Linked DNA regions of Xenopus tropicalis. The protein of the gene in region 3 purifies or fractionates together with the protein of the main gene of each other region. This does not show direct contact. Links are inferred from orthologs where the notes say so. Each region holds a gene or a part of one and is shown on either strand. Other genes may lie near its edges. The genes, in order: nedd4l, nedd4 and litaf.

Region 1 (4,273 bases), on a different chromosome or scaffold from region 3:
ATTCTGTCACAGTGGCACAGATCCTATCTGATCCCCCCATTGTAAGCAGCAGTCCTGCCCTGCTTTATGGCTGAGATTCTAGCTATCTGTATAACAGAGCATTCTGTCACAGTGGCACAGATCCTATCTGATCCCCCCATTGTAAGCAGCAGTCCTGCCCTGCTTTATGGCTGAGATTCTAGCTATCTGTATAACAGAGCATTCTGTCACAGTGGCACAGATCCTATCTGATCCCCCCATTGTAAGCAGCAGTCCTGCCCTGCTTTATGGCTGAGATTCTAGCTATCTGTATAACAGGGCATTCTGTCACAGTGGCACAGATCCTATCTGATCCCCCCATTGTAAGCAGCAGTCCTGCCCTGCTTTATGGCTGAGATTCTAGCTATCTGTATAACAGAGCATTCTGTCACAGTGGCACAGATCCTATCCTACCATGATTACATTTCTTAGGTTGGTGGCCCATGGGGCGATTAAGTCACCTGTGATAGATCTCTGCTACTGCAGGTGACTATCAACTCTGAAATGCTTTTCCACTGGCAACAACAGAAGTCGCTGGTGGAAAAGACTTGTGAGTCTTTTCCGGCGATTTCGGGAAATCGCGCCGCCGTGTGTGCCATCCCACCGGTGACTTACATGTTCGCCGGCGGGATGGCGGGTCATGGCAACTCGGGGAGATTAGTCGCCCGCGAACAGGGAGTTTTGCCGCGGGCGACTAATCTCCCCCGTGTGCCAGAGCCCTTAAGTGTGAAGACACACGGAGCTACTAGTAGCAGCTACTTGTCATGGCTACTAAAATAGCCAATGCTGATCATTTACTGATAATCGTCTCTTTGTGTGTCTTAGCAGAGACAATTCTCAGTATTGTCTATGGCAGGAGAGTTTCTGGAGTTTAGTAGCTGCTACTAGTAGCTCAGTGTGACTTCACCCTAAAGGTATATATAATTCCAAATAAAAGCAGTGTTTGTTTATTGCTACAGACACACTAGGAGCTAGAGGCTATAGGTGCAGGTCACTGCTTCCTGACACAGACGCCGCCTCTCTCTCAGTCTCCAGCAGACGGCGCTGTTGGATCAGGGACAGGGAAAGGCTGCACACTGCGCTTCCTCCCTCACACACACACTGGCACATCCAACCTGCCGCCCTCCTGCTCCTGACTACAACTACCAGCATCCCTTCAGCTGTTTCCTACTACATTTCCCAAGCTTCCTGTTTGTCCCAGCAGCAGAGGAAAAGCCTCAGAGCGGCCGGACGGTCCCATGACACTGACTGTGAGGAGCGATTCAACCGAACTTCCCCGGCGCCCTGCCCCTCCCCACTTTCATTGAGCGTCCCTGAGCCCTGGCCACGCCTCTCTGGGCTGGGCGGCTCCTGATTGGCGCTGGGTGGGCGGGGCCCGTGTGCGTTTGTGTGAGAACTGGGACTGTGCCTGACAGGGATCGGGGGGACATCGTGTGAGTGGCGGGTCTGGCTCTTCCTCTCTACCCGCCGGCACCGGCACGGACCTTATACCCGGAATAGGCACCTAGTGAGCGGCAGCTGGCCAGCGCCCTCCTATTGTTTCCCATCTACTGTGCGCAAAGGATTAGGGGTAATTGCACCCCAACTCTCCCCATGGCGGCTGAACCCATTTATGGACTCTCAGAAGACGATGTAAGTACATGTTTGTGTCTCTTTAATTGTGTGGGTGGCACAGGGGGGCAAGCAGAGGCCGTCCAACCACAGCTGCCAGCTGAAGGGGCAACACTTCGCCCAGACTGGCATAGGGGCAGTAGCTTCTGTCATTGGGCAGAACTCATACAGGAATTGCCTGGCATCTCCCAATGGTGGGTCAGTGAGAATAGGTAGTGCCATTGGTACCAGTGCTGTTAGGTGCAGCAGGCTGGCATACTGCTGGGCAAGGCTGGCATACTGCTGGGCAAGGCTGGCATACTGCTGGGAAAGGCTGGCATACTGCTGGGCAAGGCTGGCATACTGCTGGGCAAGGCTGGCATACTGCTGGGCAAGGCTGGCATACAGCTGGGCAAGGCTGGCATACAGCTGGGCAAGGCTGGCATACTGCTGGGCAAGGCTGGCATCCCTAAGTACATGTGAGAAGGAGAGGCTGGCATCCCATAGCCCTGTAAATCAGAATGGTCTAGCACCCACCCTATCTATACTGTCACTGGCACCCTGTGTATGTTGGCATCCCATCAGTAGCCTGTAAATCAAAGGGGGCTGGCACCCACCCTATCTATACTGCCGGTGGCACCCACCCTGTATACTGCTTGGGCATGAAGGCTGGCACCCTGTATACTGCTTGGGCATGAAGGCTGGGCACCCTGTATACTGCTTGGGCATGAAGGCTGGGCACCCTGTATACTGCTTGGGCATGTAGGCTGGGCACCCTGTATACTGCTTGGGCATGAAGGCTGGGCACCCTGTATACTGCTTGGGCATGAAGGCTGGGCACCCTGTATACTGCTTGGGCATGAAGGCTGGGCACCCTGTATACTGCTTGGGCATGAAGGCTGGCACCCTGTATACTGCTTGGGCATGAAGGCTGGCACCCTGTATACTGCTTGGGCATGAAGGCTGGCACCCTGTATACTGCTTGGGCATGAAGGCTGGGCACCCTGTATACTGCTTGGGCATGAAGGCTGGGCACCCTGTATACTGCTTGGGCATGAAGGCTGGCACCCTGTATACTGCTTGGGCATGAAGGCTGGCACCCTGTATACTGCTTGGGCATGAAGGCTGGCACCCTGTATACTGCTTGGGCATGAAGGCTGGAACCCTGTATACTGCTTGGGCATGAAGGCTGGCACCCTGTATACTGCTTGGGCATGAAGGCTGGGCACCCTGTATACTGCTTGGGCAAGAAGGCTGGCACACTGTATACTGCTTGGGCAGGAAGGCTGGCACACTGTATACTGCTTGGGCATGAAGGCTGGAACCCTGTATACTGCTTGGGCATGAAGGCTGGCACCCTGTATACTGCTTGGGCATGAAGGCTGGCACCCTGTATACTGCTTGGGCATGAAGGCTGGCACCCTGTATACTGCTTGGGCATGAAGGCTGGCACCCTGTATACTGCTTGGGCAGGAAGGCTGGCTTCCCATCAGTAACCTGTTGGCATCCCATAAGTACCCTGTTGGCATCCCATAAGTACCCTGTTGGCATCCCATAAGTACCCTGTTGGCATCCCATAAGTACTGCTGGTTGAGGCAGTTTGGGACCATCTGTAGTACTGGCATCTGTGTGACTGGCTGCGGCTGGGCAACATCCCGGGAGTTCAACTGCTTATATGTACATTGGCATGCCAGGAATACTGCTGTTTGGCATCCCGTCAGTCTGGCACAGCATTGGCACTGCAGCATGGGGAAGAGCCCCCTCTTTGTATTGCTTGGTCATATGGGCAGTATTGCAAGCTGGCATCATACTAGTGGCTATATATATATATATATATATATATATTGTAAAGTGCCAATGCCTGATTGAATAGTTTAAATGAACTAAACCAGCTGGGGGTGGTGGTGTATCTGGTGGTGTATCTGGGTGTGTTGTGGGGGTGGGGGGTGAGTCTGAGCTGCTATTGCTAGAATGCAGAGGCGCCAACTACCTATAGTGCCAGGGGCACTACCAGTTCTCTGGGCAATATTACTCTATGGTCCCTGTTTGAATGATTTCAGGTGCCCCCGGTACCTGCTGTGGGTGTTGGCTCAGTGTGTGACGCCTATGGAATGCATAGTGCACATGGTATGTGCGCCCGGGAGTTGGAGGTGAGGCTCCTGCAGGGCATTTCTTTTTCAGCCAAGCGCTGACATTTGTGCAGGAATTCATTCGAAAGCTTGAATTCTGGGCTAAGGGAGTGGTGCCTCCCCTCTCTCTATATGCGCCCACCTCACTGTGTGGGTACTTGACACTGGCAGCAGCTCTGCCCAGGTTATATATATATTACTGTAAATAACATTGTCAGATTAAGCTGTATGTAGGTTATGTATGTGGCGTAGCCCAGCAGCAGATTGCAGCACAGGATTTACACTAAAATCATTATTATTAGGGCAGAGCTCTTTAGATTGATAGAGTTGGGGGCCCTTATGCATCCCCTTAGCTCATAAAAAAGCCCCACATATATAAGACATCCTCTATCAGTATCAGGTATATCTAAAGGTGGCCATACACGGCACTTGTTTGGCGAGGTTGCCAAGCGGGCGGATCTTCTCCACATATCCCTACCTACAGGTTGCCAATATCGGCTATATAGGCACAGCAGTTTCAGGGACACGTCAACGAG
Region 2 (4,169 bases), on a different chromosome or scaffold from region 3:
TGAAAACTATAGGCTCTACTTCACATTTCACTAAAAGGGTTGACTTTATAATAACATTATAAGGATTTGCACACAAACTGTATACCATGCATGATTCCTGTAAACTCTGATACTCTGCAGTCAGTGGGGATTTTCTCACTGGCTTCTAATTGTGTTTTGGCATGCTCCTGGTTTACTTATAGCCAAACCCCATGGGTCTTGTGGAAACTGCAGGAAGATTTGGAATGGTTTAACCAGGCCAATTTCTTCTACATTTATTTTCTATTTCAAAGATTAAAACAAAACTGAATTTTATATGCTTTAATTCAGTTGACATTTTTCTGCAGAAAGGATTTTGTCTAATTAAGTTGCTTTAATTGACTAGGCCTTGTTTAGATTTAAGGAATTCCAATCCAAACGTTTACTACAGGTATAGGTTCTGTTATCTGGAAACCCATTATCTAGAAAGTTCCAAATTACGGGAGAGCTACCTGCCATGAACTCCATTATAAGCAAAGAGAACAATGGGAAGGTAGCAAAATAATAAGAAATCCAAGTCTGGCTTGGGACTCCTCCAGTTACAAGGGAGTAGGAGAAACAATAGGTTACCTGAAAGCAGTTCTAATATGTAGCGCTGGCTCCTTCTGAAAGCTCAGACTCAGGCACAATGCACTGAGATGGCTGCCTACACACCATTATTACAACTGAAAAATACATTTGTTGGTTCAAGAATAACACTTAAAATGGTAAAGTAAATTATTTGCTATGTAAACAGTGTTATTTATAAATAAAAAGTACACCATAAAAATCATGACAATCCCTTTAATATTTAAATAATTTTTTGGCAGACCTAAGGTAAGGAGATTCAAAGGAGATCCCTTATCTGCAAACCCCTGGTAACTAATATTATTTATCCAACATTCTCCAACAATGGAATTTTTAGTAAAACCACTAGGTGGCACCACAGGACAGTTGTGAGTTACAAAGTTTGCTTATCAAGCCTACATTCTGTTTTTTAAATTTATTTATTTTATATATTTACTGCATTACATTTTTTGTAAGTATTTTACATTATGTATGCCTATGTAAATGCCATTTACCATTTCCTGTAGTCACCTAATACATTATTTCTTAAGTTATACAGAACTTAGAGGACACTCTTGTTTTATAAATATTCCTGTTGTTAAAATTAATATGACCACTATAGATTAGTTTAAATATATTAGTTGAGGCACAGTCTGTTTAGATGTAGTTTTGCCAAAAGTAAAATAATAATTCCCCATTTTAAGAGAACATATTCATTTCAGTTAAGATTGTAACTAAAAATGCCACTATAAAAATAAAAGTATTTTCTGTTATACTTGAAATATATAATAACAGGTACCAATTTCCTGCAGTTACTACTGCAGTTTACACGTGTGGATGGGCTTTAGAAATTCAATCCCAACGCCGATGCTCGATTATGTGGACCTTCATTCCTTGAAACTTCCTGTAACTTTATATCTATGGGTAAAAATATGAGAGGCTGGGAATTGCTTAGGAACACATAGGCATATTGATTCAAATGGGCAAGTGTTCCGATCTGGTACAGAAACAAAAAGTAATGCAAGAGGTCTGTTGATCTTGGGCAGGACTCATTCATGCAAATATGGGAAAGTAGAACTGAAACACGCTTGGCAGTGTTTCAGCCAGTATGCTGCAGTAAAGCTGAGCGTAAAGGTCGCTGGAAATCAACTGCCTGGAAAGTGAATGCAGTTGAAATAGAAGATATCCAAGACGGTGCAGAGCTAGGATCCTTGGAAAATGTTTGTTTCATGACGTGCTTTGCTGTACCCTTTTGCTTGTACTTTGCCTCTTGTTGACTGGGACACATTCTGCCGCTGTATGTGTATTTTCTTGCACTTATTATAGATGCTTTGCTGCTGCTTTTGGTTTGCATTTGGAGAAAGGGAGCTCTATATATTTAAATCTATAATATGTTCAGAAACAACAAATGGCTCGGCGGTTAAGACTTCACTTTGCAACTAGGAGAAGCAACACTGATCCCTTACCAGAAAGCTCTGGAGATGGCTTGGATAGTAATATTCATATGTGCTTTAAAAGACTCTCTCCAACAACTGCACCCGGTGTGATTCAAATGAGGCTGTCTCCGAGGCAAAGTGTGCAGAAGTCCTCTTCCCCAGAAACTATTCCTATACATCAAGGTCATTCTGTTTCTCCACCATGCAAAAAAAGCACTTCAGTGCAGATTTCTTTACAGCCAAGCAGGAATACTAGATGTCATCAATCTGGCAACACTGCGCCTGCTATGGAAGATATTTGCGTCGTCAGTTCTTACAAGGATGGAATTAATTCTACTATGAGCAGGAATTATAACTGTCAACCCACCATAAATGACACCTGCATCAGTAGTAGTACCTCAGCTGAAAATGGCAGTTTATTAAGCATTTCTGCAAGTGACAATGGATCATATAGTAGCAACAGCAGTGACTATGGCTCCTGTGCAAGTACCGCAAGTGATGCTGGCTCGTGTGCTAACAGTATAGTAAGTGACTGCAGTAGCTGTACTTATTCTTTAAGTGACAGCAATTACTTAAATGTATTACCCAATGGTAATGCCCTGTTCTTTAACCCAGAAGAAAACTGTGAGTTTTTTAAAAGTAAACTGGAAGAACCTTTGCCTATAAATAACTGCAAGTTCCATTTTGACCTGGATCACTCAGAAAAAGAGGAGGTCAGAATTCCTGCAAGGAAGAAAACAAGAATTCCATTAAGACGCTGCTCTTCATTAGTTATTTTTCCTTCTGACACTCCACCAACATCTCCAACTAGTCTAGTCCCTCCATTAAGCAGGGGCTGCTATCAAACTTCTTACCAGCTTATGCTATCCTCTAATGATTTTACACAAAAAGAGGAGCAAGCAGCCTCCAAGGGGTCCCTTTCAACAGCAGTCAATGGGGTTCGGCTTTCCAAAAACACCTGCAATGTTGGTGAGGTTAGAGATGTTAAGCCGCTTTACTTGAATGACAAAGATGATGGACTGCCAAATATTTGCAATTCTGTTGCAGAACACAGCAAACTGCATGAGGATAAACCTCAGCTGAACTCAGATGCACGGCACTGTCGGCTGGTGCGCAGCACATCCGCATATTCTCCCTCCAATAAAACTGTGGAATGCCAGATGGGGAGAAGCTCAGAGCAGGGATACAAAAATATTCACAAGTGCCAATTAACTCATGTTTTTCAAAGAAGTGTCTCTGAAGGTCCCCCACAAAAACGGTCCTCTGCCTCTAGCCTTAAATGTAGACATCCAAAATCAGGGTCCTCTTATTTGCACATACAGTTTGCCCCTGGAAACGAAAGCAGGATTAGTAGCTATAAGAAACAATCTTTAAGAAGCCCCACAACAGAACTGCCTGGTAAGCCTTCTGTGAAATTACTTAAGGTAAGCTTATTTAACATATTAAATTACATTTTGGGCCACCTCATCAAAATTAATGTTTTGCTTTTGCATATTTGCTTGTTATCCTTTTTATATTTATATTTCATCACCAGCTCTAAAGAGGGATTTTTGGTAGCTGTGTTTGTTGGGGGGAAGAAAAAAGATCAGGTGCTTCATTTCTTTTACAGACTCCATGTAAATGTACTAAATTTCTGAGAAGTCCCTAGCTGTTTCTCTGTAAACACTTAGCAATTACATTTAGTGTATCACACAAGTGCTCTTCTGACCCCATGGCATTTGTAATTGAATAAGCTTATTTTGGGCAAGTTTTCTCTTCAAACTGTGCAGTTCTGTGCAAGTCTTAAATTGTGAATGTGTTCTGGCCAGCTATAGTTCAGCATTGTGCACCGGTTAAAAATAAACAGCTCCCAAAATATTTCTCTTGACTCCAGTTAGTCTGGGTGTGTATACTGATATGCTGTGTGTGGGTTCAAATTTAACACGTTGATATTAGAGTAGCTTTTAGTAATGCCAGCTATCTGTACACAGCAGTCATGAAATTAAATCAGAGCTTTACTCAGGGTCTGTAGGCACTGAAGGTTTTGTACGTACTTGCTTAGGATCAGGTTGCCTTCCTTAATAATCAACAGCTTGTTAAGGACTGCTTTCTAAAATCTTCCCCAAACCATCTTATTGTAAAAAACTTCAAGTATATAGCATTGCAATTGTGTGGGATGTAATTGGAAAC
Region 3 (4,039 bases):
CCAAAGCTGCCATATTATCGTTTCTTTGAATGGACAGAGGGTGATATGCAATGTTTATTATGCCAGTTTGGCCATCATCTGAGTTTGACCTCTGAAGCTGCATAGGGTGCTATGAGAAAGGTTCCATATGGCACCCTTTGCAGCTTCAGAGGTTCCCACCAACAGGATCCTGGGTGCAGTGCCTTAGGATGAGTCTGTGCTACAAATTACAGATATACTATTATTACCAGCACATCATTAGGCCCTGGCATTTCAAGTACACAGAAGCCCAATCAGCCCCAAAACACTGTGACTGTCCGTTAAAAATTGACAATAGTCCTCCTGGCATTTGCCAGAACCTACAGTTTGCCTGTACACCATACCTCATTGGTGTTTATTCCATTTTTAGAAAGACTTTCCCTTTCCGGTCATCATATGGTGAGAAGTGGAACTGTGCAGGCCGCAGCTTAGGGGCATATTTATTATAGAGAAAATTTGTCACACATCGCCATGTAAAAATGGCGTAAAAACGGCGTAATTCTTTTACGCATTTTTTTTCCACCGGAACTTATGGAAAATAATGGCGTAATATCCGGCGTTCAGATGGTGATCTTTTCCATTTATTTTACACAGCTTTTTTTCGCCGAATTAAGTTTTATACAGCATAATAAATACGCCCCTTAGTGTCCGATCACCAGCGATCCAACATGCTGGCTTCAGAGTAAACTGCCCCAGAACCAGCATACATGCCCAGATGATGGTAGGCAGGGTGTATGAAATCAGCACACTGACCAAATCAGGCCAAGTATGACCACAGTATGACTATAGTATGACTACAGTATGGCACAACAGTGCAGCTGCCTGCACCCCTCAAGGAATACAAACTCGCCTGAGCAAACAGAGACAATAAGCTCTGTCCTGCGAAACCTGGGACAGCTGGCTGGGCTGGAAACTCTATGCACATAACCTTCACCTTCGTGAGAACTGAAACTACTCCAAAACAGAAGCACACTTACTTCCGGTGAAAAAGTTTCGCTATTTCATGGCAAAGAAAGCGTACTATAAGGGGAGGAGCAGCGCAGCGTTGGGGAACTCGGGCTCCTTGCTTGGAACACGCACACGGTGTACTCTCAGCGCTTCCGGGCCAGCGTCGCGCCCCTCAGTTTAACAGCGGGATAGGGCGGTGCCTCGTAAGCCACGCCCGCTGCAAGTTTTTCTCCGTATGTTTCCAGAGTTGTGGGAGTACAGTCCCTAGCTTTAGTGTGCCTAACTTGGATCTGCTTGTCTGAAGCTTGTCGTTGCGTTCTCCTCTGGTATTAGACAGATTCAAGGGACCATTTCTGTCAAATTTGAGGTACGTGCCTGTCTCCCCTCACCCAAGGATCGCTTTCCACGTTTACTCTATAAAGTTTTCACACTTCGAACTATGAACCGCTGCTTTCCAGCTGTGGATGAAGATGAGGAATGCTGGGAGTTGTAGTCCGGCCGCAGCTGGCGAACTGCACGGGAACGAGTGATGTCACTTGCTCTGTGTTAGAAGCAATCGCTCTTTCTTACCGATACGCTTGCTTGGCTGTAATGTTTCTGTCCGTGTATACATACTGGGTTGTGTATGTGTGTGCAAGTGTGCGCCGGTAGCGCAAAGATGGCAGCTGCTACAGATGTGTGTGTGGGTTGGAGCTGGAAAGTTTGCTATGCAGGGAGCTGTATCCGGCCGCAGCAGCAGGGTGAGAGTATCATGGTGTGTTTGTGGGTACAGGTATTTAGCAACACATGGGGCTCGATGATCGCATTAAGCTGAGCCATATTATCATTGTATTATTATTTTGCCTATTACATATTTCCTATCAGCTAGCCCTAACATTGTTGGCATTTGGACACAATAAATTGGTTGAATCATCTGTTATTAAACAAAATCACTATAATTATGATTCCTCTTGTTAAAATGAGAGATCTACCATTTACGGAAAATATGTTGTTTGCAATATGTCTATGAAGATTCTCATTCATCCAGGTCATGATATACAGTATCTAGTAGAATTAAGTCTAAAACAACTGGACTTTTCTGAGTTTTTTCCTTGAAAACGTTTCAAGATTTTCCATTTCTAACATTGGGACAGTGAAAGCCTCTTGTGTGAAATTATTCAACTGTACAACTGTACTGCTTTAAGAACAGAAGCCCTATGTAGGTATAGCCCTCTGTTTGCCCCTAAATTGCCTTTCTGGCTCCTTTATTTAGTCTAACACCTCCTCCTCCTAGCCCAGAGCAAGGGGAATGTGCAGTTGGGGCTAGGCACTCTGGTACCTGGAAGGTAAGTACCACTGCTGAGTGGAAAGGGCTTTAACCTTAGCTGGACATGGCTACTATAGGCCTGTGCAAATAAAATTAGTGACTTTTTTTTGTTAGTTCTTTAGATGCTTCTTTAACAGCAGCATAAATCTATTTGGCATGATTCCTTTGCAGTTTAGAATACACAGAATGTAATTTCAGCACAAGTTCTATTAATTCTGCTCCTATTGAAAAAAAGGTCTTTGTGTATGTATATACTATTTTTCTATATGTATTCTGCCCCTTTAAAGGGCTAGACAATGTTAAACCAATTCATTTAGTCTAACTAAAAGGCATAAAGAAGAAATACTGAAATCTGTGACATTGTCCAATAGTAACAGCTATAGTGTGATAGAGTTTACAAGGTGGAACTTTCATGTACCAGTCAGGCTGACATACCTTCCTCTATGAATTGCAGATTATTGAATATTTCATACAAACATTCTGCTAACATTCTCGGGTTTCTAAATTGGGACTTTGAGCCTGTCACAACTAGCCCATCTGTACTGCAGGAGTCCCTAATCCTGTTGCGCAGTTTACAGAATGTGTGTGTACCAGTATTATTTTAAATCCCAAACCCTATGCCATAATTTGGAAAGTGCTGCTTATAAATTGCAAAGTAGCAAGTCCTCACTGGTGTTCAAAATAGGCCCTGGAATTTCAAGTACACAGAGGGCCAAACGGTCAGTCACTATTTAGTGGGCAGTGGGGGGCTATGGCATCTTAGAGCACTACCTCTAGCACTAGCCAGAATCCACAGATTGCCAGTCCAGGCCTGCAAAATAGTACACTTTCCAGTAAACTGAAAAGAAAAGCAATGATCCAGTGTTCATACTCAGTGTATTCAGATCATTTTTTCCACCATTATAGCATCATTGGGCTTAAGTAAAACATAAACAATTCCTCAGACTGAGAGCCATAATTATCTCCTGTGACTCATAGGGACCATTTCCCCACCCCTTAAGGTGGCCGTACATGTTCAGATTTTAGTCTTTTTCCGACGAAGTTTGGATGTCAGTCATACATTTCAAGGGGATGTTTACCTTAAAATTAACGTTTATTATGATGTAGAGTGTGCTGTTCTGAAACAATTTGCAATTGGTCTTCATTTTTTTTATGTGGGGTTTTTGAATTATTTTGCTTTTTGTTTTAGCAGCTGTCTGGTTGCTAGGATCCAAATTACCTTAGCAACCAAGTAGTGGTGTGAGTGAGACATTGGGTTATAAATAGGAAAGGGCCTGAATAGAAAGAAGAGTTATAAAATATGACAATAATACATCGGAGGATGTTCTGAACATGAAATAGTTGCAGACACCAAACCTACAAAAGTTCCATTGTAGGTCCCCCAAGGATATTGTCCGATACACAAAACATGCATGTTAGCCGACCAAAATTTTTAACCTGACCGATTGGCTAAATGACCAATCACCATAGTAAGAAAATGATTGGGACGATAATTCAGAGCCCACACATGGTCCAAAAATCTTACAAAATCTCGTTTTTATCGGTGTGTATACGGCCAGCTTTAGCCTGGCAGAGTCATTCAACCCCTGGGACTTGAAGTTGCTTTTTAAAGGATCTATGCAGTGGCCACTGTGGAAAGCAGAGGAACTTCAACTCTATAAATCCATCACTTCACCACAGTACAATATGAGCGAGGGGTTGAATGACTGTCAGCCTAACTGGGGGTGGGCAGTGGACTGTGTGAGTCAGAAGCAGGTCATTGTGTTT

The links.
Region 1: the proteins of litaf (region 3) and nedd4l purify together in Homo sapiens (affinity purification with western blotting; 3 studies listed by BioGRID and IntAct, counting the BioPlex papers as one, with this or other methods). This does not show direct contact. The link is inferred for Xenopus tropicalis from reciprocal best matches to the Homo sapiens genes LITAF and NEDD4L.
Region 2: the proteins of litaf (region 3) and nedd4 purify together in Homo sapiens (co-immunoprecipitation; 4 studies listed by BioGRID and IntAct, counting the BioPlex papers as one, with this or other methods). This does not show direct contact. The link is inferred for Xenopus tropicalis from reciprocal best matches to the Homo sapiens genes LITAF and NEDD4.

Annotation. Positions count from the first base shown.
Region 1 is NC_030677.2:201,923,173-201,927,445, reverse strand, and holds the start of nedd4l (E3 ubiquitin-protein ligase NEDD4-like), read left to right. Parts: upstream 1-1,470; 5' UTR 1,471-1,611; coding exon 1,612-1,650; intron 1,651-4,273. UniProt on the Homo sapiens protein: E3 ubiquitin-protein ligase that mediates the polyubiquitination of lysine and cysteine residues on target proteins and is thereby implicated in the regulation of various signaling pathways including autophagy, innate immunity or DNA repair.
Region 2 is NC_030679.2:100,448,010-100,452,178, forward strand, and holds the start of nedd4 (E3 ubiquitin-protein ligase NEDD4), read left to right. Parts: upstream 1-1,309; 5' UTR 1,310-1,972; coding exon 1,973-3,424; intron 3,425-4,169. UniProt on the Homo sapiens protein: E3 ubiquitin-protein ligase which accepts ubiquitin from an E2 ubiquitin-conjugating enzyme in the form of a thioester and then directly transfers the ubiquitin to targeted substrates. Specifically ubiquitinates 'Lys-63' in target proteins.
Region 3 is NC_030685.2:36,370,472-36,374,510, forward strand, and holds the start of litaf (lipopolysaccharide-induced tumor necrosis factor-alpha factor homolog), read left to right. Parts: upstream 1-1,206; 5' UTR 1,207-1,333; intron 1,334-4,039.